Notamacropus eugenii: one gene and its partners. The protein of the gene in region 4 purifies or fractionates together with the protein of the main gene of each other region. This does not show direct contact. Links are inferred from orthologs where the notes say so. Each region holds a gene or a part of one and is shown on either strand. Other genes may lie near its edges. The genes, in order: LSM12, ATXN2, ATXN2L and NUFIP2.

The links.
Region 1: the proteins of NUFIP2 (region 4) and LSM12 purify together in Homo sapiens (affinity purification with mass spectrometry; 3 studies listed by BioGRID and IntAct, counting the BioPlex papers as one, with this or other methods). This does not show direct contact. The link is inferred for Notamacropus eugenii from reciprocal best matches to the Homo sapiens genes NUFIP2 and LSM12.
Region 2: the proteins of NUFIP2 (region 4) and ATXN2 purify together in Homo sapiens (affinity purification with mass spectrometry; 3 studies listed by BioGRID and IntAct, counting the BioPlex papers as one, with this or other methods). This does not show direct contact. The link is inferred for Notamacropus eugenii from reciprocal best matches to the Homo sapiens genes NUFIP2 and ATXN2.
Region 3: the proteins of NUFIP2 (region 4) and ATXN2L purify together in Homo sapiens (affinity purification with mass spectrometry; 4 studies listed by BioGRID and IntAct, counting the BioPlex papers as one, with this or other methods). This does not show direct contact. The link is inferred for Notamacropus eugenii from reciprocal best matches to the Homo sapiens genes NUFIP2 and ATXN2L.

The regions. Positions count from the first base shown.
Region 1 is NC_092873.1:349,979,175-349,986,441, reverse strand, and holds the start of LSM12 (protein LSM12), read right to left. Parts: upstream 3,010-7,267; 5' UTR 2,373-3,009; coding exon 2,249-2,372; intron 193-2,248; coding exon 59-192; intron 1-58. Other genes in the region: G6PC3 (glucose-6-phosphatase 3), read left to right, coding at 5,551-5,768. UniProt on the Homo sapiens protein: Nicotinic acid adenine dinucleotide phosphate (NAADP) binding protein. Confers NAADP sensitivity to the two pore channel complex (TPCs) by acting as TPC accessory protein necessary for NAADP-evoked Ca(2+) release.
Region 2 is NC_092875.1:34,609,104-34,616,499, reverse strand, and holds the start of ATXN2 (ataxin-2), read right to left. Parts: upstream 3,004-7,396; 5' UTR 2,652-3,003; coding exon 2,374-2,651; intron 1-2,373. UniProt on the Homo sapiens protein: Involved in EGFR trafficking, acting as negative regulator of endocytic EGFR internalization at the plasma membrane.
Region 3 is NC_092872.1:46,614,944-46,621,849, forward strand, and holds the start of ATXN2L (ataxin-2-like protein), read right to left. Parts: upstream 3,005-6,906; 5' UTR 2,764-3,004; coding exon 2,477-2,763; intron 1,587-2,476; exon of another isoform or gene 1,215-1,586; intron 658-1,214; coding exon 621-657; intron 462-620; coding exon 405-461; intron 322-404; coding exon 250-321; intron 1-249. UniProt on the Homo sapiens protein: Involved in the regulation of stress granule and P-body formation.
Region 4 is NC_092873.1:36,771,094-36,778,236, reverse strand, and holds the start of NUFIP2 (FMR1-interacting protein NUFIP2), read left to right. Parts: upstream 1-4,138; 5' UTR 4,139-4,816; coding exon 4,817-5,168; intron 5,169-7,143. UniProt on the Homo sapiens protein: Binds RNA.

The DNA of each region.
Region 1 (7,267 bases), about 310 Mb from region 4:
TCTAAGACCCAGACCTTCCCAACATTATTCTAAGCCAGACTTGGTCTATCATTCTTACCTTGCTAACATTGAGAGAAGCTAGGGGAGGAGGGGTTTCTGTGCGGTCATTAATTATTTCAATTTCCGAGACAAATTGTAGATTTATAAGCAGGATGTCTGCATGGTTAGGCTTTCCACTGGAAGAGGGACATTCTAGAGAGAGAATAAAGTTAAGGAAAACAAGCAACCAAAGTCATCAACAAATCCTGATGGGACTGAAAAACATGATTCAAGAAAGGCTTAAGGAAAATGCACACCAAAAGCAAGTGGTAAAGAGGCCTCACAAGAAACATAGTAAGAAGTAAGGAATCTCAAAACCTCATTCTTCCCCTGCTTCACCCCAGAAACTAAAGGATTTCAGGCTCTACAAACAGGAGCAAAATTGGGATCCCCGAGATGTTATCACTTTTTTCCTGCTAGTTCTTGGCATAGAAATTCATGTAACTTTTATGCAACATGGGTACTCATTTGTCTTTAAATTATAAGACACCATACCTTACAGTTTTTATTCCCATGTAGTTTCTAGCATAATAACCATTGTGTTTATAAAGTATTTTTTATTTTTGCAAGGTACTTTCTCACCATGTCACCACTTATTTCATCATCAGGTTGAAGATAAAAGGGAGGTATTATCCCCACCTTGAAGATGAGCAATTGGCCTGTCCAAGGTAATCCCAGCAGTTCATTCACTTGACAAGAATTCATTGGGCATCTATGGCATACATAATATTCTACTAAATGCAATGGAAATTACAAAAGAAAAAATCATTTACAGAATACAGTTAATGGTAGACTTGAAACTAGAACTACTACCATCAATCAGTCAGACTTGTATCCCAGAAATCCTTTTACTGGGTTGAGATTGCTGAGATTACTGGGTTACTCATTTTACAGGTCCTATTCTGCTGCAGCATCTAGAAAAAGTTGACTATGCTGTTGAAAGTTGTCTCAAAAATCACTTTCCTATACTAGAACTGTGAAACAAGTGGGTATCTTTTGTTTGATTGTTATTTGGAATTTAAATGTCTGCCACTTCAGAAAAGCAGGCTCAGTAAGACTTAATATGCACTTTCACTCTGGAAGTATCAAAAAATGATCACTGAAACAATTGCAGACAGAACCACTCCTAAGAAAAAAAATAGAATTCCCATACCTTAAACAAACTAGACATTTTAGACATGAGTAGATGGCACAGCAGACAGTGTGCCAGGCTTAGGATCAGAAAGACCCGTCACAGTCATAGTCTAATTCAGTCACTTACTAGCTATGCAACAGTGTAACAAGTCACTTAAACTTCAGCCTCAGTTTCATCAGCTATGAAATGGGGCTAACAGAATCTACCTTACCTCACAAAGCTGTTGTGAGGATCAAATAAAATACCTATAAAACACTTTAAAACTTAAGATCACTTTAAGTGTTAGCTATTACTCTTATTATTCCCACCCCCATCTCTGCTTATTATCAGTACCCCTCCCCCAGAATCAAACTTGGTTATTCTTTGTCTGGGATACTCAATGAGTACACCCCCAAAATAGAAATTTTCCGGCTAGAATATCAGCCTCCAACAAACCCCCCCCCCCCAAGAAGAAACACACAAAACAGTAACTGAAGTCTCTTTCCAGCGATCACCTATAAACTTCATCATCAGGGGATCCTCAGAGAATACCCACCTTGGCCCCTAGTTTCATTTTCTGTGCCCATGCCTCTTTCCATGAGGTAAAACACACACACAACCTCTACAAATTCAGGAGCCTCTTACCTTCGGGTACAAGCACCTACCCCTAACCTACACACCCCCTCCCCCACGTGACCACGGCCCCCTCTTTCATCTGGGGACTGCAGACCCTACCCTACAGCCCCTCCCTTCCTTCCACTAGCCCTTTCCTCAAACAGTGACCCCTCACTAAGGGATTCAGCCAGAACAGCCACCCGCGTGTCGAACCCCCTCCGCCCACCTCCTCTGCCTTCCTTCGTCAAGGCCCGGCTCCCGCGAGGAAACTGAGACCCCAATGGGGAGTGGAAGGGGGCGGCAGAAGGAGGGGAAGAAGGAACTAGGCTTGACCACGCGCATGCGTCCTTGGCGCCGCGGTCGCCGGTCGCCCCTTAGGCCCCGGACCCGGCCCGGCCCGGCCCGGCCCCAGCCGCCGCCGCCCCCCCACCCGTGCCAGTCAGGCCTGGAGTGCCAGCCAGCCCTCGATGAGAAGGATACTGAGCGCCAGCATCTTGGACTGGTAGTCAAAGGCTACCACTTCGCCCTGCAGCCGCTGCTCTTGGCACGTTCGGCATGAAACCTGGCTCCCAACGCTGAAGTACTCGCCCGGAGGAGCCGCCATCTTGGGAGAGCAGCGGCGGGCGGCGGGGCAGCGGCGAGGCCGGCCCCCTCAGTGCGCCGGCACGCACGCGCGGCGCGATGGCGTCAGCATACCGGGGGCGGGGCTAGAGGACAAACTGGGAGGGAGGGGCTCCGAAGTGCGGGAGAGAGAGAAAAGAGAAGGGAGGAGGAACCAGGCAGCCAGGATGAGTTAGGGAGAGAGGGATCAAAAGTCTGGCCCAAAAGAAACGAGGAGGTGCAAACCCCGGAAAGGTGTCCTCCTCTAAGTGAAATCTGATCCTCTCCACTGAGCTGATGGTCTTCATCCATTTCTCCAGCCTTCCTCCCCCTAACACACACAACTTGCCTAAATTTAAGGGAGACCCTCCAGTTGGATTCAGTTTTATTTTGTTTTGCGGTTTTTAGTTTTGTTTGGGTTTTTTGTATTTTCCCCAAAGAAATATCAATCTAAGACACAGAGTTGTGTTTAAACTTCCCCAGAAAATAACTTTTACTCCACACATTTGTTCTCTCTCAGAGTTAAAGAGGAAAAACAAAGCAACAGACAAAGGCTGCTAAGGCAGAAATAATACAATTAAACGAATATACTCCTTTAGGATAGAGACTTTAATTTCTTAGCTTTTTATGGTTAGGACTTAGTATCTTGAACAGTTTAGCTGGCAGTGAATTGACCCAAGACCCTAGTAACTGTCATTTCCTATCACATCCTATAAATTTTGACATTTGACCTCTTTTAGTTTTAGACTGAATCTCAAGCTGATCCAATCCTAGGTCAAAGACCGAGAAGTTTAGAGGTATGGGTTAGAGGGATGATTTTGCCTTTGTTGACCCTGAATCTCTGATAAACTCATTTGGATCAGAGTCAGTAGAAAAGAACATGTTCCAGTCCTTAATAAGAAAAAAGAAAGGAAAAGCATTGCTCTTGCCAAGCAAGGGGCACAAGGCTCCCTGACTTCTGCAACACCTTGGTGAAATCAAAAGTAATACTACCTGATTATACAAAGTATCTTTTGTAGTCTTTTCACATATATCACTTCATTTTATTTTCACTCCATCCTGGAAGAAGGTAAATTTAAGAGGTTACAACATATTAGTGGACAATATCTACTTGTGAGACTAGAAACCAGATATTCTAATCATGCTCGTGTCAACATACCTGCACTCCAGCTACCTTTTTAACTACATAAATTAGCTTTTATCATTTCACAATATAAATTATGTATTTATTGATGGGACCTGGACCCCTAAAAGGAAAAGACCATATCTTTGAAAGCAGCCCCGTCCCTGAATTTTCCCATACATGTCAGCAGTGCCTCTGCCCTAGGTAACTGGCCCACCCCAGCCCACCTCCATCACTTAATTAGTTTGACAGGGCTTTCACTGTCAATCTAGGCCCACCCCAGACTACTTAATACTCCTTTCACTATAGCACCTAGACCACCCCTGGCTATTTACCACTTCTTAATCCCATCCAGATGCTTTCACCATGCTTTTTGTAGGTAGGCTTCAGTCTCACTGCCATTAAGTTGCAGATTCACTAGGAATCCTGCTCACTCCCATTGGCTACCGAAGATTCACTTAGAATCTAGCCAGATTGGCAACACAAATAAACCTCAATATTTTGACTGAAAAAAGGCTAGAGTGGTCGAATTCTTTCCAGACCCCCTGTACCTTTGCATTTCCATGTTCCCAGCACCCCAAACCACAACATGTATCAACTTCACTTTATAATTGAGCTATCTTTATCATTTCACTATCTAAATTTGCTGTTTCTTCATTGAATGGCATCCACTTTTCCACGCTCATTTCTTCCTTTCCTCCCAACAAAACTAACCAAGGGCAAAGATGTCTCAGGCTAGAAATGGCTTTAGGAAGTTTTATCCTAATCTTAGCCTCCCCCCTCACAATACCCTGTGACCTAGACCTCATCAAAAACATGATCATCTCTAGTTTCCATAAATTTCTTTCTCCAGTTACTCCAAATCCTAGTAAACTGTTGGCCTCATGGGTGGGCACTGAACACGGTTTCAATCTAGTTCTCACTCACACATACTTACATACAAAAACAACCCTACTGGATTCCCTGGATTACATGGTAGATAGACTTCGGGGACATGAATTTTAGAATTTTAAAAATTAAACTCTTTCCTCCTCTATCCCCCATCCCGCCCCTGAGAGAGAGAGAAAGAGAGAGAGGTGTGTGTGTGAAATTGCTGTCCCCTTTCACAACACACCTGGGATGCTATGGTTATGTCCTTGAACTTCCCTGTCCCTATGCCCTGACGAGACCACGGATCTTTCTATCAATAAGACAAGGCAGCAGAAAGAAACCTCACTTGGAGAACTAGCTATCATCCTCCTCAAACATCAAGCATCAAGCTTCAAAGCCTGCCTGCTACCCTCTGACCCAGGACCGCAGAAGTAGCCACCGCCCCACGTCCGCTGCGGACTGGACGCGAACTGGGGACACGTGGGTCTGGGGGAAAACGCCCTCGCGAGAGGTTTGTCCCCTACGCTGACCCGTAGAAGGAAGACCTAGCGAGAGGTACAAACCCGGGAGGTAGGGAGGAAAAACGTTACTTGGAGGGCAAAGCTCGAGCTTGTGGCCCTGGGGGAGGGGGCAGCACGGGGCAAGGGACCGGAGAAAGAGGGCATGCGGTCGAGCTCGGACAGGGGTGCGGTCTGGGGAGCGCGCGCGTGGCTTGGAGGCGGAGTTTGAGGTGCTCTGGAAACCGAGAGGCGGGGCCGCGCGGGGTAAGCGGGAGCTTCCCGGGTAGAGCAGGGGCGAGGCTTGTGGAATGACTGACGTGGGGGGGGACGTGGAGGGAAGCTCGGGGCCAGGGGGCGGGGCCTGAGAGCTGTAGGACGTAGAGGGCGTGGCCTAGCGCCGGGCGAAGAGATGGCGGAATCTAGGGAGCTCTGGGGCAGAGGGGGCGGGGCCTGGGTCGCTTCGAGGGCGGAGGGGGCGGAGCTGAGAGCAGAGACCTCTAAGTGCGTCTAGGGCTGATGCTAGTGGTACCCTGGATGTGAACTGCTTTGATATGCTGGTGGAAGGAAATGGTGGGGGCTGTGGGAGGCGCCTTCCTCTTACCTCTGGCCTCCCTCAGCTTTCTTCCCTTCAGAAGCAGCGTTACCCCGTCAACACAAGGTCAGGGCTCCAGGGCCTGTGACTTCCTGGTATGGAGTCCACTCTGGGAGCGGGGATCGTGGTGGCGGAAACTCTACAGAGACAGCTACCCTGGCTGGAGGACGTCTGGCTCTGGGTCACCTTCCTCGGTGACCCCAAGTGCATCTTTTTTTTCTACTTCCCCATGGCCTACTATGCTTGTCGCCATGTAGGCATTTCTGTGTTCTGGATCGCCCTGCTCTCAGAATGGCTCAACCTCATCTCCAAGTGGTGAGACAAAACCCCTTGCCATCCCTACTTAAAGCTCAGGCCGTTGTCAGCAGGAATGTATTAAAGGCTAGCACTATGCTAAGGGCAGAGGATACAAAGAAAAAGATGAAATAGTGCCTGCCGTCAGGGCAGGTATATTCTACCAGGGGAAATAAATAAAATATGAAGTAAACCTAAATGCAGCTGGGTGATTGGAAAAAGAGTGGTACCCTGAATATAAAGAGAGAAATTCAAAAGAAGAGTGAGGTTGGTGGAAGTATAATGAGCTATTTTAATTTTACTATATTGAGTTTTAGATGCCAGAAGACATCCAATTAGGTTGTCGATCCACTAGATAGACACACCCCACCATCAACTGTCACCCTATACATTAACCCCTGATTGTCACTCCTGAGGACATGCCAACAAACACATAGAAAGATACCAGTAGTCATATCATACACTGACCCCTCACATCACTCCCGTGATCCAATATAGTCATCCCTAAACCCAAGCTGTAGGTATTTAAACCACAGCTGCTTCATACATACCCATAATCACTCCCCACCTCTTACCACCCAGGGACTCCTTTTTTCTAAGTCATTATTGTGTTCTCATCCCACCCCCACAAGTAAGTGCTTCCCAGACAAAGAAGAGAGCCTCCTAAGTAGAACTACTTCCCCTTCAAAGTAGAAGGCCCTGCCTCCCTTCTTCAGCATGAAAAGACTAGGGATAAGGGATACAACCCTACAAAAGATGTCAAGTATCACCATAAATGATATCCCAGAAATTCTCTGTTGGTGTTTTTTTTAAGGCCCTCTCTGTGCAATCTGCCTTTTCTGGTTTGATACAGGAGAGAGTTGATCTGCCTCTAACTGGGCATTCAGCCTTCTCCTCCAGATCACCCCACAAAAGGATGCCACATTCCCAGCCTCGGAGAGAAGTGAACAAAATTGTTAAGCAGGAGGCAAGTAAAAGTTACGCATGCTGCAGGATTAAGAAAAGTTGAGAAAGAAGGGCTGTCTGGGTCTCTCCATCTCTCTCCCTCTGCCTGTATCAGTGTGAACCATGTGAGGAAAAAGAAGGCAGGGTTTTCTGGTGTATCTTTCACTGGAAAATTTGAGGAGGAAAACTTTTCAGAGTTCCAGCACAATAGCCATTGGAAACCTTCCTTTTAGAGCTAGTCTTCATAAGCACTTTAAGGTTTCAGATTACTGTAAGTGTGTCATCTCATTTGATCCTCACAACAACCCTGGAAGGTAGGGGTTGTTATTATCTCTATTTTCCAAATGAAGAAATAGAAGCCCACCTGCATTAAGTGACTTGTCCAGAGTCACACAGCAAGTGAGTGTCTGAGGCAGGATTTGTATAGAACTCTGACTCGAAGTCCAGCCCAACATTCATTACAACACCTAGCTACTTCTTACTCAATTCTCTTTTTCCTCTACCTCTTATCTCCAGACCATCTGCTTCCTTCCGCAGTTCTGTTCTTTGTACCATTGGAGCTCTCTATCTCTCTC
Region 2 (7,396 bases), on a different chromosome or scaffold from region 4:
CTCCAGGACTAAATATAAAATTCTATTTGGTTTTTAAATCCCTCTACATGCAGAACGACTCCTACTTTTTCATTTTTCTTATGCCTGATTCCACTCCACAGAACTGAGATCCAGTGGCAGCAGCCTCCTGGCTGCTCCTTTCAGGACACCCCCCTCTACTCCCCAATCTACAGACTATGAGCATTTTCCCTGGCTATCCCCCATGCCTGGAATGCTCTTCCTCACATCCACCTCCTGGCTTCCCATCCTCAGCTGAAAGTCTCAACTTCTGCAAAAAGTCTTTTGCAGACCTCCTTAATCACCACGTCTTCCCTCTGGAGATCATCTCCAATTTACCCTGCATACATCTTGTTTGTACACAGCTACTTGCTTGTAGTCTCCATCTGACTGAGAACCGTAAGAGCAGGGGCTGGCTTTCACCTTCTTCATATCCCCAGAGCGTGGCTCACAGCAGGTGCTGAGCAATACTAACTGATTCCCCTGAAGGTGGGAGACTCAGACTGCAGAATGCTGAATATCCCGTAACAAGTAGTTACTGTGTCCTTTGGTTCTTAGCAACATAGAAAGGGGGTGATGAGGGGGAGGCAAAGATTAAATGTGGGAAACGACTGATGGAAACACAAAAGGCATCAAAATTTTAATTAAAAAAAAATATGGAACCGGATAATAGGCAAAAGCACTTAATTCTGAACGTATCAGTAAGTACTCAAATAATCATTCTGATTGTATTTTTCTGTTTTGAAATTACCCCCTAAGGGATTCTGCAAACTACTCAAAATTCACACTAAAGAGAGGCCACCTTTTATGTGCACAACTGTAGTCAGCAGAACAGGAGTCTCAGACAACAATAAAAGGGACATTTAAGAGTCTACTGTGTGCATAGCATATTGTGCTGTGAAGAAACAAACTACAGTAGAAATTAAAGCCGTTTTAATTAAAAACAAAAAAACCTTTTTTCTGAAAATGAGGTTCTCATTTTCACAGAAAACACTATAATGTACTAATGTTGCACTTTGTCTTTTTACTTACTATGCATAAAGGTCAAACTTTGGTGATCTTTTTCACTACGGTGCAGTCTTACCCACTTTTATCTCCAACTCAGATGAAATAGGGGTAGCCAAACAGCCCTAGGAAATTTGATTTTATTTCTAGCCTCACAAAAGGACTCAGATAATACTGAAAGTGAAGGTGATTCTAAAAGTATTAATAAGAGGTCGGCAGCAAGGATATAAATTCACATGATACAAACCCCGGGACAACATGTTCCAAAAGAAATCTTATGCAGTTCTTGAAAGGATGGGGACCGAAGGACTCTTAAGCAAGGAGAAATCAAAAACTAGCTTACAGCAATGAGGGGCCAAACGAAGGCTCTTACGACAAAGGCCCTAGTGGGGGAAACAGCATTAAACTCTGCTAAGAGAAAACCTCCCGACCGTAGGAAGGAATCCGTGGCACTCCGCTGGTCCCCCCCTCCCCTTCACCCCACCCCTGTGGCCCTCCCACTTCACCCAGGCCGTCAGACCGGCGACCTAACAGAACCCTGGAGCTGGACGCCAGCTTTGAGGTCATCTGGTCCAAGCCCCCACAGGCCACGTCCTGACGCGGGCACGGGGGCTCTCCCCACTCTCCCACCCGGTCTGTTTATAAATATTCCGCCAGACCGACCCCCCTAATGCAGCAGACTGATTTTTAATCGGCTACCTAGGAAGGGATATAAGGAAATGTCTGCTATTTGGATAGTATTTGGAAACTTTTAAATACCTGCGCCCGACTTTCCCGAAGTTTAAAAAGCGTTCACAATCACCCTCGGAATAGCTACGGCCTCATTCATTTGGACTGGCTTTCTTGTTTCAATAACGGGGTAAACCTCCCTTTAAACGGAGCTCCCCAAACATCGAAGGGCTCAAGGTTTGTCCTTTTTTCCCCCGGAAGGGTTAAAGAGATAACTGGGTAGGGCCAAGGAAAAGAGAGCCCACTGCAGTCCCTCGGCCACCCAGGGGCCCGTCTGGCTTTCCGAGCTGAGCCAGGGCCGGGCCGACCCACCCCGGGGCCCTCTCCCTTCGCGGCCAGGCCAACACGTCTCCCAAAGGTTCGGTCGGGACAGTAGGCCCGGGATGACCAGGCGCCACCCAGGGGCCCCGGTGCCCTTGGGAGGCTCGGGCCGCGGGGCCACGACGGCAAGGAGCTGCGGCCCGTGCGGCCGCGGGGCGTTTTCGAGGTGACCGGTCCCCCTCCCCCACTGCGGGGCAGGACGGCCGGGTCCCGGCCGCCCCCTCCTCCTGCGGCTCCCGCTACCCCGCGGGCCCGGCCCATCCCCCCCGCCCGCCCAGGGATGCCCCCCTCCCCAGCCCGCCGGGGGTCCCCCGCACCCACCTGCCCAGGTTCTGCCGCCCTCCACCGGCGCCGCCACCGGCCGCCGACGATGAGGAGGCCGAGGTCGAGGAGGCCGAGGACGTGAGGCCGCCGGGCTTGCGGGCGCCCCCGGGCGCCGCCGCCAGGGCTCCGGGCGCGGGGGGCTGGGCCTGAGCCGGGGGCTGGGCCTGGGCCTGGGCCGGGGGCAGCGCCGGGGCCGGCGGCGGCTGCGGTTGCTGCGGAGGCTGAGGCTGCGGAGGCTGCGGCGGCTGCTGGGGGGGCTGCGGCTTCAGGGACATGCTGCTGACCTGCCCATACACCGAGGGCCGAGCCGGGCCCGGGCGCCTGACGAGAAGCGAGGCCGGGGCCGCGGAGCAGGAGGAGGCCGAGGCCGAGGTCGAGACCGAGGAGGAGGAGCCGGCGGCCGCGAGCCCGAGCCCGAGGGAAGGGAGGGGGCGGGGTGGGGAGGGTCGGGGGCGGGGAAGGCCGCCCGACCGACCGACGACACCGAGTTGCCGGGAGCCGCCGCCGCCGTTGCTACCAAAACAGTCTAAGGCGGGCGGAGGGAGGAGGGAGGAGGGAAGGACCGGCCGGGAGGGGGGAGGGGGACGGGGGCCCGGAGGGGACCTGCCGCGAACGGAACGCGGGGGACGCCTGGGAACAAGCGGCGGCGGAAGGATACCTCCTCCGACCGCGCGCGCTTGCTCGCTCCCTTGTCTGCCGACCCTCAAAAGGAGACACCCCTCTCCTGAACCCAAAGGCCGGTCACACTATAGGAGGAAAGAGCGGAGGAGGGGATGTTCCCCGAAAGCAGGTGTGGGGAGTGGTCCAGGGAGGTCGGACGGAGGGGATTCTTTTCCGGAAGTCGGAGGGGCCGGACAGGAAGGGGAGCGTGAGACGGCACTGCGGCCGGAGCTGAAGCAAGAGCTGGAGGGCCGCACGTGGGGCTCCCGCGGACCGGCCGGCAGTCTCAGAAGGGGCGGTGCCAGAGGGGGCGGGGCCGTAACAGGCCCCGCCTCTCGGACGCGAGCCCGAGCTCAGGGAAGGGGCCGGACTCTCGCCGCCCGACCCCGAGCCCGGGCTGGGGGTTACAGGCCACCCGTCTGAGGAGGGAGAATCCTGACGGGAGGGAGAAGCGGGGGACCCCAAGGGGAAACCCAGGTGAAGACCTGGAGGCCAAGCCTATATTCCGTATTCCAGTTAAGGAGAAAGGCAGCCCCTGGCCAAGGTCACCCCGAGAGATAGCGAGTCCTTGAGTCCTTGTACCCCTGGCTGCCCTCCAGTGTAATAACTAGGAGCATCCCCGTGGGGCTGCGCCCCTCTCCGCAGGGGGCCGCGGGGGCCAGGCCTCCTGAGTCAGCGCCTGCTGGTCCGAAGAAGGTCCGTCATCAAGTTTAGGAAGTGCCTACCCTGTGCCAGGCCCTTTCTAAGAGCTGGGGTCCAAAGAACGTCTGAACATTTATTAATCGAACCCTAGTGCTAAGGGTACAAAATACCAGCCGCCAAACGTTCGTTAAGCATCTACTGTGTGCCAGGCACCGTGCCAGGCACAGGGCACAAAGAAGATAAAAGAGTCCTTGCCCTCATGGAGTTTACAGAGGGAGACACAGCTATGTACAAACAAGACAGATGCAGGATCAGTTGGAGATAGTCACTGGCATTAAGAGTGGTTATGAAGGAAGGGCATCTAGCAGAAGGCGAAGTTTTAGTCTCTGCCCACAAGGAGCTTACCAATCTAACGGGGGTGACAAACATGAAAGGTTTTGCTGTTCATTTGTGTCCAACTCTTTGCGCTGCCATCTGGGTTTTTCTTGGCAAAGATACTGAAGCGGTTTTGCTGGTTCCTTCTCCAGCTCATTTTACAGATGAGGAAACTGAGGCAAACCAGGTGAAGTGATGACCAAGGTCACACAGCTAGGAAGTATCTGAGGCCAGACTTGAACTCTGAAAGAGGGGTCTTCCAGACTCAAGGCCCAGCATTCTATCCACTTTGCCACCTAGCTACCCCAAATAACTTAGTACATACAAGATATGTACATGAAAAGTAATCCAGGGGGAAAGGCACAAGCGGAAAGGCCTCTCTGAAAACAGCAAGATTTGAGCTAAGTCTTGAAGGAAGCAAGGTGCAGGTCAGCGGAGCCAGGAATGGATTGTCCTGTAGTGGAACATCTAGGCCAATGTGGTTTTGATCACAAAGTGTGTAGAGGGGTTAAAGTGTAAGATTTGTGTCCCACTGTTGTTGAAGTGGTATACGGATCCAGCCGTTCCGTAGAGCAATTTGGAATTATGTCGAAAGGGCTGTAAAATCATGTATACCCCTTGACCAAGATATTCCACTGGTAGATCTGTATCCCAAAAGAAAAAACAGAGAAAGGAAAAGAACCTATATGTACAAAAATATTTATAGCAGCTCTTTCATTGGTGGCAAGAATTAAAAATTGAAGGGATCCCCTTCAATTGGGGAATGGCTGAACAAATTGTTGTATATGATTGTGACTGAATACTTTTGTGCTGTAAGAAATGCTCTGAGAAAAACCCAGAAAGACTTCAATGAACCAATACAAAGTGAAATGAGCAGAACCTGGAGAACATTATGTATATTAACAGCAATATTGTGTGATGATCAGCTGTGAATGACAATTATTCTGAACAATACAGTGATCCAAGACAATTCTGAAGGATTTGCAACGAGAAATGCTATCCACCTCTCCAGAGAAAGAACTGAAGGAGTCGGAATGCAGATCAAAGCACAAAGCACAAAGTTTTCTTTCATAACATACTTACATGGAAATATGTTTTATGTGACTGCACATGTATAACCTATATCAAATTCCTTGCCTTCTCAATTTGGGGGGGGGGAAGGAGAAGAAAGGAGAGGATTTGGAATTTAAAAAAATGTTAATAATTGTTAAAAATTGTTTTTACGTGTAATTAGGGGAAAAATAAAATGTTAAATTAAAAAAAAAGATTTGTCTCGCAATAGAAAATAAATTTCTTGAAGGCAGGAACTTTTTTTTACATTGGTGTCCACAAAGTATCCGGACCATAGTAGGTACTCAATAAATGTTGCTCAATTCAGAAGAGAGAACAAGAACTAAGGCTACTCCTAAGTAGAGTCTAATTTAAATCCTATTCATAACCCATCCCAGCAGTGTGGACCTGGGTAAGACACAATTTCTCAGTGTCTAGGCAACTCTTCCTAAGATATAATTTATGAATTTACTAATCTTACTCAGTATATATGCATCGCTGTTTCATGCACTATGATGTGAGCTCCTGAACGTCCACGTTTTTTATGGATGCCAGTCCATAAATACATTATTTTTATTGTCAGTCAGTAAGCATTTATTTTGCACCTACTATGTGACAAGGCCTGTACTAAGCACTGGAGTCATTCTAGGCCAAAAAAAATTACAGTCTCTATCAGTGCTATGTGAGAGAAATGCTTTGCAAATCTTAAGGCACTACGTGATAAGTCTGTGTTTCATATTTTTTTACCTTTTAAAAAAAACCTCAGAAGATGCCTCATCATTGATCCCTTGGAGTCTTCTGACTAGATGTCCACGTGCCTCTCCTCAGCGTTAATGGAGAAAATGACTTTCCCACCAGTCAAAGGAAATTGAATTTATCCAGGAAGGGAAACTTGAGGGGCAGGAATGTCAGGGTTTCCCATGGTATTGAAGTCACATGTTATAGAATCATATAATCTAACCCCCTCACTTTACAGATTTCTATGTCTTGCCCATTTAGCTAATATTAATAATAATGACTCATACTTATATAAGACCTTAATGCTTACAAATCAGTTTTGAAGAGATAACTTTACCTTCCAGTATTGGAATGTTTCAGCGCCTGAAGACCAACTAGGCTTGATTAGCTAGGCCCATGGGTTTTACAGTTATAGATGACCACAGAGATGTGAGGCATACCTCAGGGATATTTCAAGTCCAGCTCCAGACCACCGAAATAAAGCCAGTCACATGAATTTTGTTGTTTTGCCAGTTCATGTAAAAGTTATGTTTACACTACACTGAAGTCTTAAGTGTTTGATAGTATTATGTCTAAAAAATGTAAATACCTTAACGAAAAAATACTTTATTGCTAAAAAATGATATTCATTATCTGAGCCTTCATCGAGTCTTTTTCTTTTTGCTTGTAGAGAGTCTTGCCTCGATGTTGACAAGCTGCTGACTGATCAGGGTGGTGGTTGCTGAAGGTTGGGGTAGCTGTGGCAATTTCTTAAAATAAGACAGCCATGAAGCTGGGGGCATCGATGGACTCTTCCTTTCACTTACTTAGAGGTTGTTAATCAGCCTAATTTCAATATTGGTGTGTCTCAAAGAATAGGAGGAGAGAGACAGAACAGGTGGTCAGGGGAGCAGTCATAACACACACACGCACACACACATACACACACGACATTCATCAACTATGTTCAACAACTTATGGGCATGTTACAAGTGTAACATTAAAGATCACTGATGGCAGATCACAATAAGAAATATAATAATAATGAAAAAGTTTGAAATATTGTGAGAATTACCAAAATGTGACACAGAGACAAGATGTGAACACATGCTGTTGGGACAATGGTGCCAATAGAACACAGGGTTCTCACAAACCATCAATTTGTTTTAAAAAAACTGCACTATCTACAAAGCGAAAAAAAACAAAACACAATAAGATGAGGTATTCCTGTACACTACAATGGAAAGAGCAGTGGCCTTCAAGTCGGCAGAGGCCTGTGTTCAAATCCTAGCCCTGATACTTACTGGCTGTGTCTTTGAAAGCAAGTAATTTAACCTTCTAAGTCCCAGTTTCCTCATTTCTAATACAGGAAGAGTAAAATTTGCACAACCGCCTCACAAGATTATTGTAAGGCCACCATATTGCTCTGCTGCCCCCTCCAAAAACTTAGAATGTTTTGACATTTGACCAGTAGCACTTAGTTTATCATGAGAGGGAGGCACAGGCAATAGGGAAGTGAGTAGGATTTGGAAATGAGGAGATAAAAATAGCTGGATCTCCCTTAATGGAAGTAGAA
Region 3 (6,906 bases), on a different chromosome or scaffold from region 4:
ATGAAAAGAAATCAGGCTAGAGATAACGTACAAACGCACACCTGCCCAGCCATCAATATTTTTTCAAAGCTACAGCGCTTATTATGATGAAATATAAAACAATTATAGCAAGCAATGCTAGGCTAGGAACATCTGTACAGAATGGCAGAGTTTTTACGACGATCTTTAAGACTGACGGCACTGCATCTCCCACATACCACCCTTTCCAGCTGGTTCTAACTTCCAAGCCAGGTTGATGAATACACTTACCTTTGAACTCAGAGTCTTGAAAATACCTTCATATGTGGTACCATTTTTCACCTTTACATCACAAGTGGAGCCCTGGCAGAAAGAGCAACAATTAAAGACTTCACATTACACTTATTTAAGACCCCACCAAACTACTTTAGAAGACAGGTACATACCACAACAGCAGTAAGGAAGTGTAGCATCCTAGAGTTATTGTAGACACCCTCAAATACCTGAAAATAACACGGAGATGACAAATTAATGAGTAAAGGGAAGACGCTTATCAGGTATCCTAAACTTCTACCTTTCTGACATTTCTTTTGCCCGATTCCCCAGTGGTTCCCACTTCACCCTTTTACATCCCTGAATTTAACTACTGGAAAGGCACTCACAGGTGACGGTGGGGGCCCCTTTCCTGTGCTCTGTCCCCTATAAGAGAAAACAACAAGGACACTTTTAGTTATTCAAGTCTGCCCAATTCCCTCCTACACTCCCATCTACAAAGGGGTCAGGAACGTCTAACTCAACATACAACAAAAAAAGAAAGGTCCACATCTTTTACAGGAGTAAAGAAAGGCTGGATAAGAGACGTCCCTGGGCCTCATCAGGCACAGAGCAATGAAAGTCTATAAACCAGTACAGCCTTCAGGCTTGTCCACATCTTAAAAAGGCAAAGAACTGGAGGAGCGAGATGCATTATTTTCATTTCAAAGCCCACGGCCTAGCTCTCTGTCCAAACCATTCTGTGAGACGAGATTAAGAGGCAACCTTCCCGCAGCTCTCCCAAGGCAAGGGGACGGGGCTCAGGGTTTACAACACCCACAAGAACAAGGAAGCACATGGAGCCCATCTAGGACTGGCCAATCTAAAGCCATCACCCCAGAGTGCCAAAGGCACCTCTAGCAAGCCCCCGAGCTCGCCCACGGAAGACAACTGTCTCCACCCCTACACGAAAAGCCCCATTACCCATTCTGGGGAGAACTAACCGCCGCGGATACCAGGGTCCTCACAGGCTGATGTAACTGGCCGTTGGGGGGAGGGGGGGCCGTTTGGCGGGGTGAGGGGACCGCGCAGACGCAGACGCTATCCACAGGGAGGCCTCACCCATTCAGCGCTTGCGCACTACAGCCCTCAGGCTTCCTTCACGCTCGCTCGCCTTCCTGCCCCCAGAGCGCCTGCGTACAGCCTCAATAAGCTCCACGAGAGATGTGCGGTCCGCCGAGCTCCCACCCCCGCCCTGACCTTAGAAACAGACCGCAGAATATTGGACTAGACCGCGCCGGCTACAGCTATCCTCACGGAGCCGCCAGGAGCGCCGTCCTAACACCCTGTCATAAGACGGCACCTTCTCCACGCGCACGTACTGGGGTGCGCGCGCGCACAGGGGGTTATACAGGGTCTGCAGTTCCCTCCTTGGGGGGGGCGGGGGGAAGGCGCAGCCTATTTCTTCTCTGCCCATTGGCCCAACTATGGACTCCACGCCCCCCCATTGGCTATAGCTAGGGACCCCTTCCCGCCTCTTCCCACCCATTGGCTGAGCTTTGGGACCGCGAGACCCTTCACATCAATTGAGCCGGGGACCCTACTCACCTTTACCTCCCTCCTCTCCTCCTCCCCCCGCCCCCGCCATTGATGCACCCCCTTCGATACGGACACTGACACAGACACACACTCTCGCTCGCTCCTCCGAGGCCGGGGATGGGGGGCATTCCATCCTGCCCAGTCTACCCTTCCCGGTCTACACAAGGCAAAGAATTCCCACCTAGTCGAGCCCCCTAGGGCTAGGCTCCCTTCTGCTGAGCAACCTGCTGGTTGGCCAAAGGGCCGCCCCTTCCCCCATCCTGCCCCACCATTTAGCCCGACTTAGGAACCCCACTTCCACAATGGGATGAAATGAAGGATCCCCCCACCCTGCATTGGTTCGACTCAGGGACCCCATCTCCTCTATTGGCCAGACCGTAGGGGCACACGCCGCTTCCTCTTTCATCCCCATTGGCTAAACCCAAGAGCCCCCGCCGAACCCCTCCGGAAAGTTGGACCGGGGACCCTCAGCGTTGCTGCCCCCGGCACAACGGCAGCCCACCGCCCAACCCTGGCCACTGTCTCCCTCCGAAAGTGGCCGGGTCAAGGGACTCCGCGGGCTTTCCTTCCCGCCCCTTCCTTGATGGCAGACAGACGTTTACCAACAAGCAGGGGGCCCTCGGCCGTCCCACGTCCCGTCATCCCCCCTCGTCCAGCCCCTCTTCACCTGGTACTGCCAGTAGCAGCGCCCCCGGGCCGCTCCTGATGCTGATGTGTTGGCGGCTGTGGCGGCAGAACCCCCTCAGCTCCCCGGCGGAGCCCACTGCCTCCGGCAGGAGGCCCTAGGCCTGGGGAAGCGGCAGTGGGCGGCCCCGGGGCCGAGGCGGAGGCTGGGGTCCCCCCGAGGTTTCCGTTGGGGGGGCTGGTCCCCCCGGGAGGCCGGCGTGCTGGTGCCGGTTGCTGGATGGGTGTCTGCTGGGGCTGAGATGGCTGAGGCGGCTGCGGCTTCAACATGGTGGCGGCGTCCGGAAGGGGAGTTGGGGGGGGCAGGACTGGGCTGAGGCCGGGCCCGCCCGAGCGCGCGAGGAGTGAAGGGGGTTGGGAAGAGGGGGCGCCGCCGTTAGCGGGTGGGGGGGCCGGTGTGTGAGGGATACAAGGAGGCGGCGGCGCGAGAAGGCGCCGCGAGGCGGAAGGGGGGATCTCGCGGGCTTGAGGAAAGCGAGAGAGAGGGCGCGAGCCGGCGCGCGTGCGCGAAAGAAACAGTATGAGGCGGGGGAGGGGGAGTTAAGAGAGAGTGCGCGCGCGTACGCAAGCCCCCGGGAGCGAGGGACCGAGGAGACGCGCTCACACCTAGACGGTTAGCTCTAGGTTAAGCGAAAAGGGGTAGCAAAGAAAGGTGAATTTTGCGTTCCTAGTACACTGGGAAGACTCAGAGTAGGGAATGGGAGATGGGGGTGGGGGAGGGGGAATGTTGAAGAGAGCTAAAGGCGCACGCGCGCGAGGTATCGGAGTCTCTGGCGCGCCCCGTGACCGCCCGCTCGCCGCCGTCGCTTGACAATGAGCGTGTGAAGTACTGGGGGAGGGGCAAGAAAGGAGACCAGCTATAGGTAACCACTGCGCATGTGCGATTCTCCTACCTAGTACAGCCAGCGCCGCATGTGCAACGTCACAGTACTGCCGTGCAATCCCTTATCCTTCCGCCTTACCGGGACTCGTACAGGGATCGGTTTGAAGGCAAAAAGGCCCGGAGGGAGCGGGTGGCATTGACGTTTCCTCTGCAGTAAGGAGCCTACGTTTGTTTGTTAGCCCACGGAGAATTTATTTAGACTTTTGCTTCCCGTCCCTTCGACCTGCTTATTATCGTTAACAACTAACTACGTTAGTAGGTGTCTCGGATACATTCAGGAAGATAAACTATTTTTTAAAAAGTTGTGTTCCTTTATTAACAGCTCTAATGGAAAAAAGGGGGGTGAGGTTGTCTCTTGAAGTTACTGGTTAATAGGTGGTTTGGATCTGTTAGAAGAACAATTTTCTACATCTTTGTTTCGAGTCATGCTTTTCCCCAACTGATGGAACAAGACCCACCGGTCAAGTCATCAAAGTCCCGCAGGTTGGGAGGAGGCTTTGGGTGAAGATGTCGTGCAGGCTCTCATTTAAAATGAAGCCTGCCAGTTTCCTATGCTCTATTACTGTCTTCTCCATCTTTTCTTGGTAAAATTGGAAGACTAAACTCTCCCATACCGGAGAAATGAAGGCAATGTGCTCAGGAGATGAACAGGAACCACAAGTATGTTGGCTACAAATGGGTGATTCCTTAGGTTTAGGAGGAGCACTGGAAGAGATGATCTAGGCCAATCCCTTCATTTAAAGTCTAAGGCCCATCTTTATGGAATGAGAGAGGATCAAGAAGAGTGAAGGAATGGTAGTACTTAAAAAGAAGTATTTATGTACACAGTTTTTAGCATTTTTCTTCCAAAGGGTTTAAGGTAGTGGGGTAATAATAACTAAGGTTTACAAAATATTTTACAACTTCATATACATATATCTATATATGTGTGCGTGTGTGTGCGTATTTTTAAGTGTCCTAACCTTGAAAGCTAGAAGGAAGAGTGACCACAGGAAGGAAGGCAACAATATATACACAAATGTGCCTTCTCCGGATAGTTACATATGGAGGCAACAGTCACATCCAGAGATAAGAGAACTGGAAACATTTTAGGAGCCAGCCAATTCAGTAACAATCTCCATTCAGATTTTTCTAAAACAATTTGGATCTGCAATTAGACATTTTAGGTTAATCAGATTAGAGCTGGAAGAGGCTTTAAAGGTCATCTAAATCCACCTCCACTCCACACACACATACAGATGAGGAAAGTGAGGTCCAGACAGACAAGGTGATTGGCAGAGGTGCTACAAAGATTGAAAACGGGCAGATATCCAGACATTCAGCAGAATGGAAATCTGAAAAACATAGGCCAATAAATTCTGTTTTACTTCCTAGCAAAATCTAGTTGGTAAAAAAAAAAAAAAAGCAATAACTCCAAGTGTCAGCATGGTGTCACTGAGAATAGGTAATACCAAACTAAACATTTCTTTTTCTGATGGCATAATTAGACTTGTAAAAATAAGGGGTATATCATGCACATAGTTTACCCGATTTTAGCAAAATATATGAAAATGTATATTGTGGCATTCTTGCGGACAATGCAAAGAAATATGAGATGATGATATTTAGTTGGGTGGATTCAGGACTAGCCGAATAACTACACCCAAAGAGTAGCCATTAATGGTTCAGTGTTACCTTGGAAGAAGGTGTAATCAAGTGTCCCAGAGAGCTGTGCTGTTTAATATTTTTATCAGTGATTTGGATAAAGGCATAGATACCATGCTTACTGAATTTGCATATGACAAAGTAGAGAGTGATAGCTTCTAGGGCTCAAGAAACAAAAAAAATTATTAGGTTAGAATACTGGGTTAAATATGATATGGTAATTCTTAACTTTTTATTGGGTTTTGTAAATTTAAAAATTTTTTTAATTTTAATTGGTTTCCTTTGTAATCTTATTTTATCCATTTAAAAACATTCTGAGGAGGGGGTCCATACATAGGCTTCACCAGAATGCCAAAGGAGTCTGGGTCTACAATGCAAAAAACTGAAGAATCCCGATCTAATCCTAAGATATTTAATAGGGATAAGTATAAAGATTCATAGTTGGGTTAAAAATATCGAATTCTCAAGTGCAAGATAGAGAAGGCAGAGTTAGCCAGCAATTGTTCTGAAAAAGATCTAGGTGCTTTAGTAAATTGCAAGCTCAATATGGATCAACTCTGGGATATGACAAACAAAAAAAACCCCTAATGATCTCTGAAACTGTAGTGAGAGGCAGAGTAGCCAGGAACAGGCATGGGCAGGACATCTGGAGTACTGTGTTTATGTCTGGACATTCATCTTTAAGATCATGTTATGTGGATTGGCTGAAAGAGCTGGGGAGGTATAATCAGGAGAAGACAGGTAGATGTGACCTGAAGTACCCTTGATGGGACAGGGGTCATGTGGAAGGACTGGACAGCACTAAAAGCAGTGGATGCAAGGTGCAGAGGCAAATTTATGCCTGATATAAGAAAACTTTCCAGTCAAGGTTGTGAGAGCCTGTAAAATGATCTGTCTGCCTCAGGAGGTGGTGGACTCTTCCTTTTCGATGTCATCACACAAATACTGGATGACAATCTGTAAGGCAGTATTCTTGTTGGAGTATGATCTCTGAAGTCCCTTTCCACTCACCTGTGAACACTGGGTTAGGAAGAAAGGCCTCTAAACTTGTCTTTCCCCCTTCACGCCTCCTTCATTCTAGCTAACAAACATTTCTTGAATGTGCATTTCATGAATGGCATGAAAGGAATATTACTCAGAGCCCCAGGGAAGGTGGTGAGATAAATCACTCTCATTATACTTACTGAGCACCCATGTATAAATCAGGTGAACAGGTTTAAACTTATGTATGTATGGATTACTGTTTGGCAAAACCCTACCATTCATACCAAGTTATAAACAAATGTTATCTGAAGCAATCAGGCAGGTGAGTGCCAGAACGAACCTCAAAATTCATGTAAAATAATTGAACCATCTCCTTCACGTCAGGTGATATAAATAGTGGCTAGGTTCAAAACCTTGTGTTAATTACTGTGTACTGAATTTCCATGAACTGGGGACATTTCCTAAGGTTATCCTTCAATAATTACATTCAGTCCCCAAATCCCTCAATCTCTGACCTAAAAAAGGAAGACACTAGGCTGTTCCAGCTACCTAAAGTCAATGAAAAATATTTTAACTTTTCTCCATGAAACCTTCCCTGCAACCTATGTGCCAGGGTTTTATAAGTTCAGTTCTAATTTTCTTTTTTTGCATAGCCTTCTACCCTTTTCTCAAAGGATGTACCAGCTTCCCTGCCCTACGGCTCAACTGGTTGAATCCTTTGCACACTAAGCAACATGTTTTCTTATTTTTTTTCTCTTTCAGGAAGTGTTAAGAATGAGAGCACATTATCAGGCATTCTACCTATTTTGTTCTAAAACTCAAACTGACATCTGTTCCCCCATGCCACCTCTACCCCCAAATAAGCTGCTCTGTTAACATCATCAGAATATCAAGAGATGAAA
Region 4 (7,143 bases):
CTGGTAGCACCTAGATGGACACTAATGGGATGCCCAGAGTGAACTGGAGCTAAAAGATGCTATTTGTTCTGGTTAACCTGATTCCATGCAAGAGATTGTTCTGATGCCAATCATCCCTTTCAGGGATTACGGACCATGGAGACAAGGCGGGGCTGGCTGCCATCTGCGAGTCATGGCCCCACTAGGCAGGATGATTAGGTTCAATGGGGACTTTCTTGAGCTGTATTCTTCTAGACTTGGAATTGGAGAGAGACAAACCTGGTAGTATGAATCTGAAGCTTAGCACACAGGACACAGTGCTTTGGATTGAGAACTGTACTCTTCCCCCAGATCACTTGAGACCATTACCTCATCCATTTTCATAGCATTTTTGGGCAGACCTTTCTGCAGATGGGGACACTGAAGTGCAGACTGACGTAAAGCGAGCTTGCCAAGGGTAGAGTTAACTATGTTAATTCTGTGTGGCCAGGTCACAGATAGAAAAGAGGCAAAGGAATTTTGACCTTTGACATAATTTTTGTACTGGGCACCACACCCTATTAGTTAACCATGTCTGTGTAGTTTGGTCTGATTTAAAATATAAAGTCGTTGAAGGAAAAGGAGGGTCCACAGAATAGAAAAATGATGGACTTAGAGATGGTGGCCTTGGGTCCAAATCCTCACTCAGCCACTTAAGTGCTGCCGATTTTGGGTAATTATTTCTTCGTGTCTCACTGGCCCTCTCTGTAACATGAAGGTTAGGGTTAGGTGACCTCTAAGGTTCCTTCTTGCTCTAAACTGTTAATTCTCTATCTTTTTGGACCGGACTTGGGATTTCATGGGTGCAGGGAGCTGCTGGGAAGAAACTCCCTGCTCCCAATGGAGATCTGTATTCTCTTCATAGCTTGTGGTCTTGGAGAGTCACCTGGGACACAGAGAAGGTAAATGGTTTGTCTGTGGTCAACCTGCCAGTATGTATTAGAGGCAAGACTTGAACCCAGGTCTCCACTACTGGAGGTTAATCTCTATATTATTTTCATTGTTCTTCATTTTTTTCCAATTTGGCCTTTGTACTGGAGGAGGCTTTGTAGACATCTTACTGTCAATTGCTAAAAATGGTAGATCAAATGCTATCAATGTGGGTGCATGTCCCAGCAAAGTCATTCAGAGAAGGATGAAGGGCAGCTCAGTTTGACAGAACTCTGGAATTCAGGAGTTCATCAAGTGTGGGTCACAATTAGTGCCCTTGGCATATACTGTCTGTTAGTTAAACCCCAGAAAACACCGTCATTTGATTGAGCTCAATGGAGGCCGATTTGGCTTTTTATTCCTGACAAGATGATACTCCAAAGGCCAGATGCCTGAATCGAAACCTTTCATATCCAGAAAGTCATCTTATTCTACTTGCTGAAAGACTAACCTGAGCTCTCCTTATCTCCATCTAGTCACTCCAAAAGTCTTTTTGAAGCTTGTATCTCCAGGGAAAAATTCTGAGATCTAAAAGAAAAAAAAATGAATGAAAATTTTTTTTCTGTAATGGAATGAAACACTAGATATTTCACATTGGAAATCCTGTAATTCTGGGTGCTCTGTGACTTGCCTGATTTTGAAGTTGGAATCACCATCAGAGGTAGGTCTGATTTCCACATAAATACATTTGGACAAGGCCTTTTTTTCTCTCTAGATTATAGTTTGTGGAAAGTGAAAGTTAGTTATTACAGCTATAAAACTGGACTCTGCATTGCCAACTCCTCTGATGCTATGTGATTTCACAACAAAGAGAAGAAGCTCTGGGATGAAAGATTATTATTCCCAGAGCATTAGAACCAAGAGGGACCCCACGAAACAGAGGCCTTGAGAGGGCAAATTATTTGCCAACCAATGGAACATGAGGCATTTCTCATTAAATGTAGCAGCTTCTCCTACGTCTTTTGAGACTGAATCATAAGAGTATAAATACAAGGTGAAGGATGTATGAAAAATTATATTTTAATTTTATAACTAAAATTTTAAGGTACATTTCTGGAACCACAGAACTTGTGTGCATTTTAAAGATTTCATGAAATATTAGAACCATCGTGACTAACATTAAAAATAATAATAAATGCTTTTTCTTAGCAAAGCTCGTTCGTCTCTTAATTTTGCTGAGACCACTTACGAGCTGCAATTCTTTTCAAGTTTAGGAGTAACACAAGATGATTTGTCTAAGGCAACAGACACCCACAGCAAGAGAGAGGAAAAAAGTGTTACACCTCATCCTTGGTCTCCAGGAAGGAGAAAAAGGTTTTGGGTTTTTTTTTTTAAATGTTAAGCAGGAAATCTCAATTTCTCTTTTTAGTGTGCTATACTGCTTGCCAGATTTTAGAAACCACAAGGTAAATTAACATCTGAAAGCTATACTCATCTATTAATAAAACTGCTTTTAAATATCAGAGAGGATCTCTGAATGAAATTTTGATTTTTTTTAACCTCTTAAATCACGATAGAAGAATAAAGATCTGGGAAAAAGCTGGTGGCTTTGGGGTCACTGAGGTAGATAGAGTCACAGTACTTGAGAAGTCCTTTTATTAAAGGCATGCGGCTCCAATTTTAATAAAGAAACCCAAAAGTCAAAATGATTGACAACTGGGACAGAAGAGAAAGCACATAGGATATGCGAGGTCAGGGTATCGAAGGAATAAGTTTGGAGTTTCTCGAGTCAGGTCAACGCTGGTTTACTAACTCGTTGGAATATCAAATTCCACCCCCTTTCCCCACTTTTTTTTCCTTCTCAAAGAGCAGTAACCAGACATGACATCATTATCAGTTGAACATTGCTCATTTATAGGCAGCTTCAGGGCAAAGTATATTAAGTGGGGGGAATATATTAACTTTAATTATTTTGGGGAGCCAAGGATATAGAGTTGTCATTATAAGAGACACTGCTCTTCCCTTCAAGACAGCTTTCAGACAGGACAGAGTTCAGATATACCTACTAATTAGCTATTATGAGTGGAAAATAAATAAATGCCATCCATTTCCTGATCTCTTAAAAGTATGCTGATTCAGTATCACTGGTCACATCACATATTTAAGGAATTCAAGAGCATCCAACCTAGAATCCAGGGGGGACCCGAGTTCAAACACATGCTTAGACACTCACTAGCTATATGACCCTGGGTATGTCATTTAACTTCTCGAGTGTGCCTCAATGTCCTCATTTGTAATATCGGGATAATAATAGCACCTACCTCCCAAAGTTGTTGTGAGGATAAAACGAGATGTCTGTCAAACACTTTGCTGACCTTAAAGCGCTTTATAAATACTAGCTATTAATCCCTTAGTTGGAATACATATTGGACAAAATGGGAAAGGGCCTTAGAAAAAGTCATGCGATGTTTTTGTTTGGACGGAACTTGACCTGAAAACGTCCTAAGTATTACCAAGGTCGAGTAAACTTGGTTTGAAAGCGCTTCAGAAGAAGCCAGGAGAAGTACAGCCGAGGAGTTCCTAGACCTGGCGGCTCTGGCACGGCCGGCCCTGCGGGCACAGGACAGCAGCTCTCTCCTCCGGTCCAGGTAGCTCACTGGAAGCGAGGTAACAGGTTTGGGAAGTTCGGAGAGGAAGGCCCGCGGAAGGGAGTCCCACGGCTTTCCCAAAGCCCCCGGGGAAGTGACCTGGGAGCAGGTGGAACTCCTGGCAATCTCGTGTCTCAGGTCTGAGTCAAAGACTCGGAGGGCAGAGGTATCCCAGCCCCGCAGCGGTCTGTGAGCGGAGGGGGAAGCGAGCGCCCAGCTCGTGTGTTGGGCGGCAGCTGCAGTCCCCAACCCGGGCTTTGGATAGGTTTGGGTTCCCCGTGTTCATCTGGAAACGACCGGCCTGTGCGCGGAAACCTGTTGCTGTCTGACCCGGGAGCAGGTCTGACCTAATCCTGCGGAGAACTCATAAAAGGGAATTACAGGACTGACATCACATTTGCTTTTATAATCACATGTTGTTATGTAATAAACACGGGATTATTTTAATTGACACTCTAGGACCCGGCGCAATCCTCTTATTTCACCCTCATTTCTGTAAAGCGTGAGAAGCCCAGCTCGCCCAGCCGGCCAAGGGGATAAAGAGTATCCCCTCCTCGCTCCCCCGGCCCCTCGGGCACAAGCCCCCCACGACCCCCTCCCCAGACAAACGCCTCCCCCGCCCCGAACCCGGGGATCCGGAGGGAGACTTTCTGGCGAAGTTGGCGGGGCCTGCCCCCGGCTCTCGCGGGGAGGGTCTCCGGTCCCCAGGGCGTGGGGCCGGGGCGCGGCACGTGCCCCGAGGGCGGAAGGGGCCCAGGACCCCCGGCAGCCGCGGACTCCGGAACGACCGGCGTTTAAAAACAACCGGTGGCGCGGCCCCAGACTCCCGCGGCTCCGCCGGCCCGGCCCCGGAACGGGCGGGCGGGAGGCCCGTGGAATCTGCCGCTCCGGACGCGAGCTAGCTGCGGGGGCAGGCGTGTGGAAAGTGCTGCTGGCGGACGGCGCCGAGCCCCGGGCCGAGGCCCCGACGGCGCAGAGCCATAGTGCTGACGTTGGAGGCCCAGCCCTGTGAGGTTGCGCCGGGTAAGTGGCGCTCGGCCGGGGAGGGCCCGCCGAGAGGGCGGGGGAAGGGGAGGAGCGGGCCCGGGGGCGGGGCCTGCGGGCCGGCTCGGGCCGCCGATTGCTGGAGGGCGGCTGCCAATCTCCGAGAATCCCCCAGTCAGCCGGGGCCCTGGCGAGAGCCACTCAGATGTACGGTGTGTGCCCGGAGAGCAGCCCGAGACGGTCTGGAGACGGTGCAGCAGCCCGCAGCCCCAGCCAGGGAGTCCCCGCCGCTTTCAATGGAGGAGAAGCCCGGCCAGCCCCAGCCTCAGCCCCCGCCGCCGCCGCCGCAGTCCCAGCAGCCGCCCCAGCACAGCAGCAGCAGCCACAGCCACCACCACCCCCCGCACCACCACCACCCCCAGCAGCCGCCCCAGGCAGCGCCGGCGCCGCCGCCGCACCACCACCACCACCACCATTATTACTACTACAACCACAACCACCACCACCACCACCAGCACCACCAGCAGCCGCACCAGTACCTGCAGCACGGGCCCGACGGCAGCAGCCCCAAGGCCCAGCCCAAGCCGCTGAGACATGAGCCCAAGCACGCCCTGCAGCCGCACCAGGAAGCGCCCAAGAAGAAAACAGGTCCGGGAGCGCGGGGGGTGCGGGGCCGGGAGGGGGCCCGGGGTCACGGGGCTCGGGGACACCCTCCCGCGCCGCTGCTCCCGCCCCTGCTTCCGCCCGCCGGCCGGCGTGACCTTCCCGGGCCCCCGTCCGCCCGGCTCGGGCCCGCTGCCCTTCCACGCGGGGCGGGCGCTGCCGGGCCAGGCCGGGGCCGGGCCGAGGCCTCCCCTCCCCCGCATCCCCCGGCGCCGCCCGGCCCCGGCCCACCTGTGGACCCGGCGGGGCTGAGCCGGGAGGTGGGGGCGGGGGGCGCGGCGGGGCCGAGGCCTGGACCAGCCGTCCCTTTATCGGCCTCGTCCTCGCCGCCCCGCCCGCCCTGTCCCCTCGCTGTCCGGGCCGGGGCCGGGGCCGGCGCGGCTGGAATGTTCTCCGCTCGTCGCGGGGCCGCTTCCTGTCCGCCATGTTGGGAGCCGATTCCTGTCACAGGCCCCGGGGCCCTGCGGGGGGGGGGGCCCGCGAGCCCGGCGCGTGCCCCGCCCCCCCTTCCCTCCCCCAACCCCCGGCCTGGCCGCGGCCCGGCCCGGCCTCGCTCCCCCGGCGGCGGCCCAGCACCGGGAGCGGTTGGGGGTCGGGCCACGCGGGGAGCGGCGGCCGCGCGGCCTCCAGCCCTGCCCGGTCCGGCTCCGCCCGCGGCCTCCCTCCTCGCCAGGGGCGGTGGTTGGCCGGCCGGCCGGGCGGGAGGGGGAGGTAAGGCGGGCCGGCGGCCCGGGAGGGGCGGTGGCCGGGGCGGGGGGGGGCAGCCACGCCACACCACGCTGAGTGTTCTCGGGGGAGCGGGCCTGCGCCGCCGGCTGTTACAACGCCCGGCCCGGGGCCGCAGGGCCGAGCGAGGCCCCGCCACCGTCCCCTCCCTTTCCCCTGGCGGGCCGGGCCCCCGGCGTGCCGGCCGCGTGGAGACGGGGCCCCGGCCCCCGCCCGAGGAGAGCAGTTTGGGGGCGTTATTTTCTTAAAGCCCCCCAGGATCGTGGCCGAGCGGCCTTCCGTGGATGGCCGGGTCAGGGGGAAGGGGAGACTTTTGGGGGCCAATGTGAACCTCCGAATCCGGTGTCCGGGCTTGGGCGCAGGCCTTGGGGCGAGCGGGGGCAACTTTTCCCGGATGTTTGAGCCTTAAGTCCGGTCTGCCCCCGCTCCTGCCGCGCGGCTTCTGCCCTTGTGGGCTCTGGGGTTGAGACGGGGCCCGTCGTGGGCCGGGGAGGGGGCGCGGGACGCGGGCCCCGGGGTTTCCCTGAAAGTGCTTTGGGGGGGGAGTTTAATCCCGAAGGTCGGAGGCCGCCGAGCCCCTGGTAATAACGGAGCTAATGGCCCTCGGCGTCTGCGGGAGCAGCCGCTCGGGGAAGCCGCCGCGCTTGTTAGCGTTCGGTCTCCCGAGGAGCGGCCGCGCTCTGGGTCGACCCGGCCCGGCCGTCGTCCCTCCTGGCGGCCTCGTCCTCACGCTCCCCCCGGCGTGATGCCCCCGGGCCGCGCTTCCGAGAGGCCACCGGGAGCTCCCGAGGGGCGCCGCGCCCCCCACCTCGCCGAGCCTGGCAGGAGTGCTCGTGGTGAAACTTTGCCAGGTGGTGCCCGCACGTTGGCGAGGACTGGAGGAAGCTGGGCCCCCCAGCCGGGAGGAGAGGCCGCTCTCGGGCGGCTGCCCGCTAGGGGGCGCCCGAGGGAGGCCGCCCGGAGCCAGTGCGAGCCTGCGTCCGCAGCCGCCGGCCCTTTCCAGAACCCAGTAGAACTGGAGTCCGTTTTAAAATGGAGTTTTGTGCCCGGACAGCTGCCGGGCCTCGGGAGAAGCCGGCCGCGGAGGGTGCTTGGACGTGATGCTCGGCTGGCTGTTCTCCTGCAGTTTATGACTTGTGGGGGCTTTAAGCCTTTAAGCGCAGTCTCGTTAGCCTAGTGGGTCCTGGAGTGAGAGAAACGGTAGAAGGCCGTAAGTTAGGCCACAGCGCGGGGC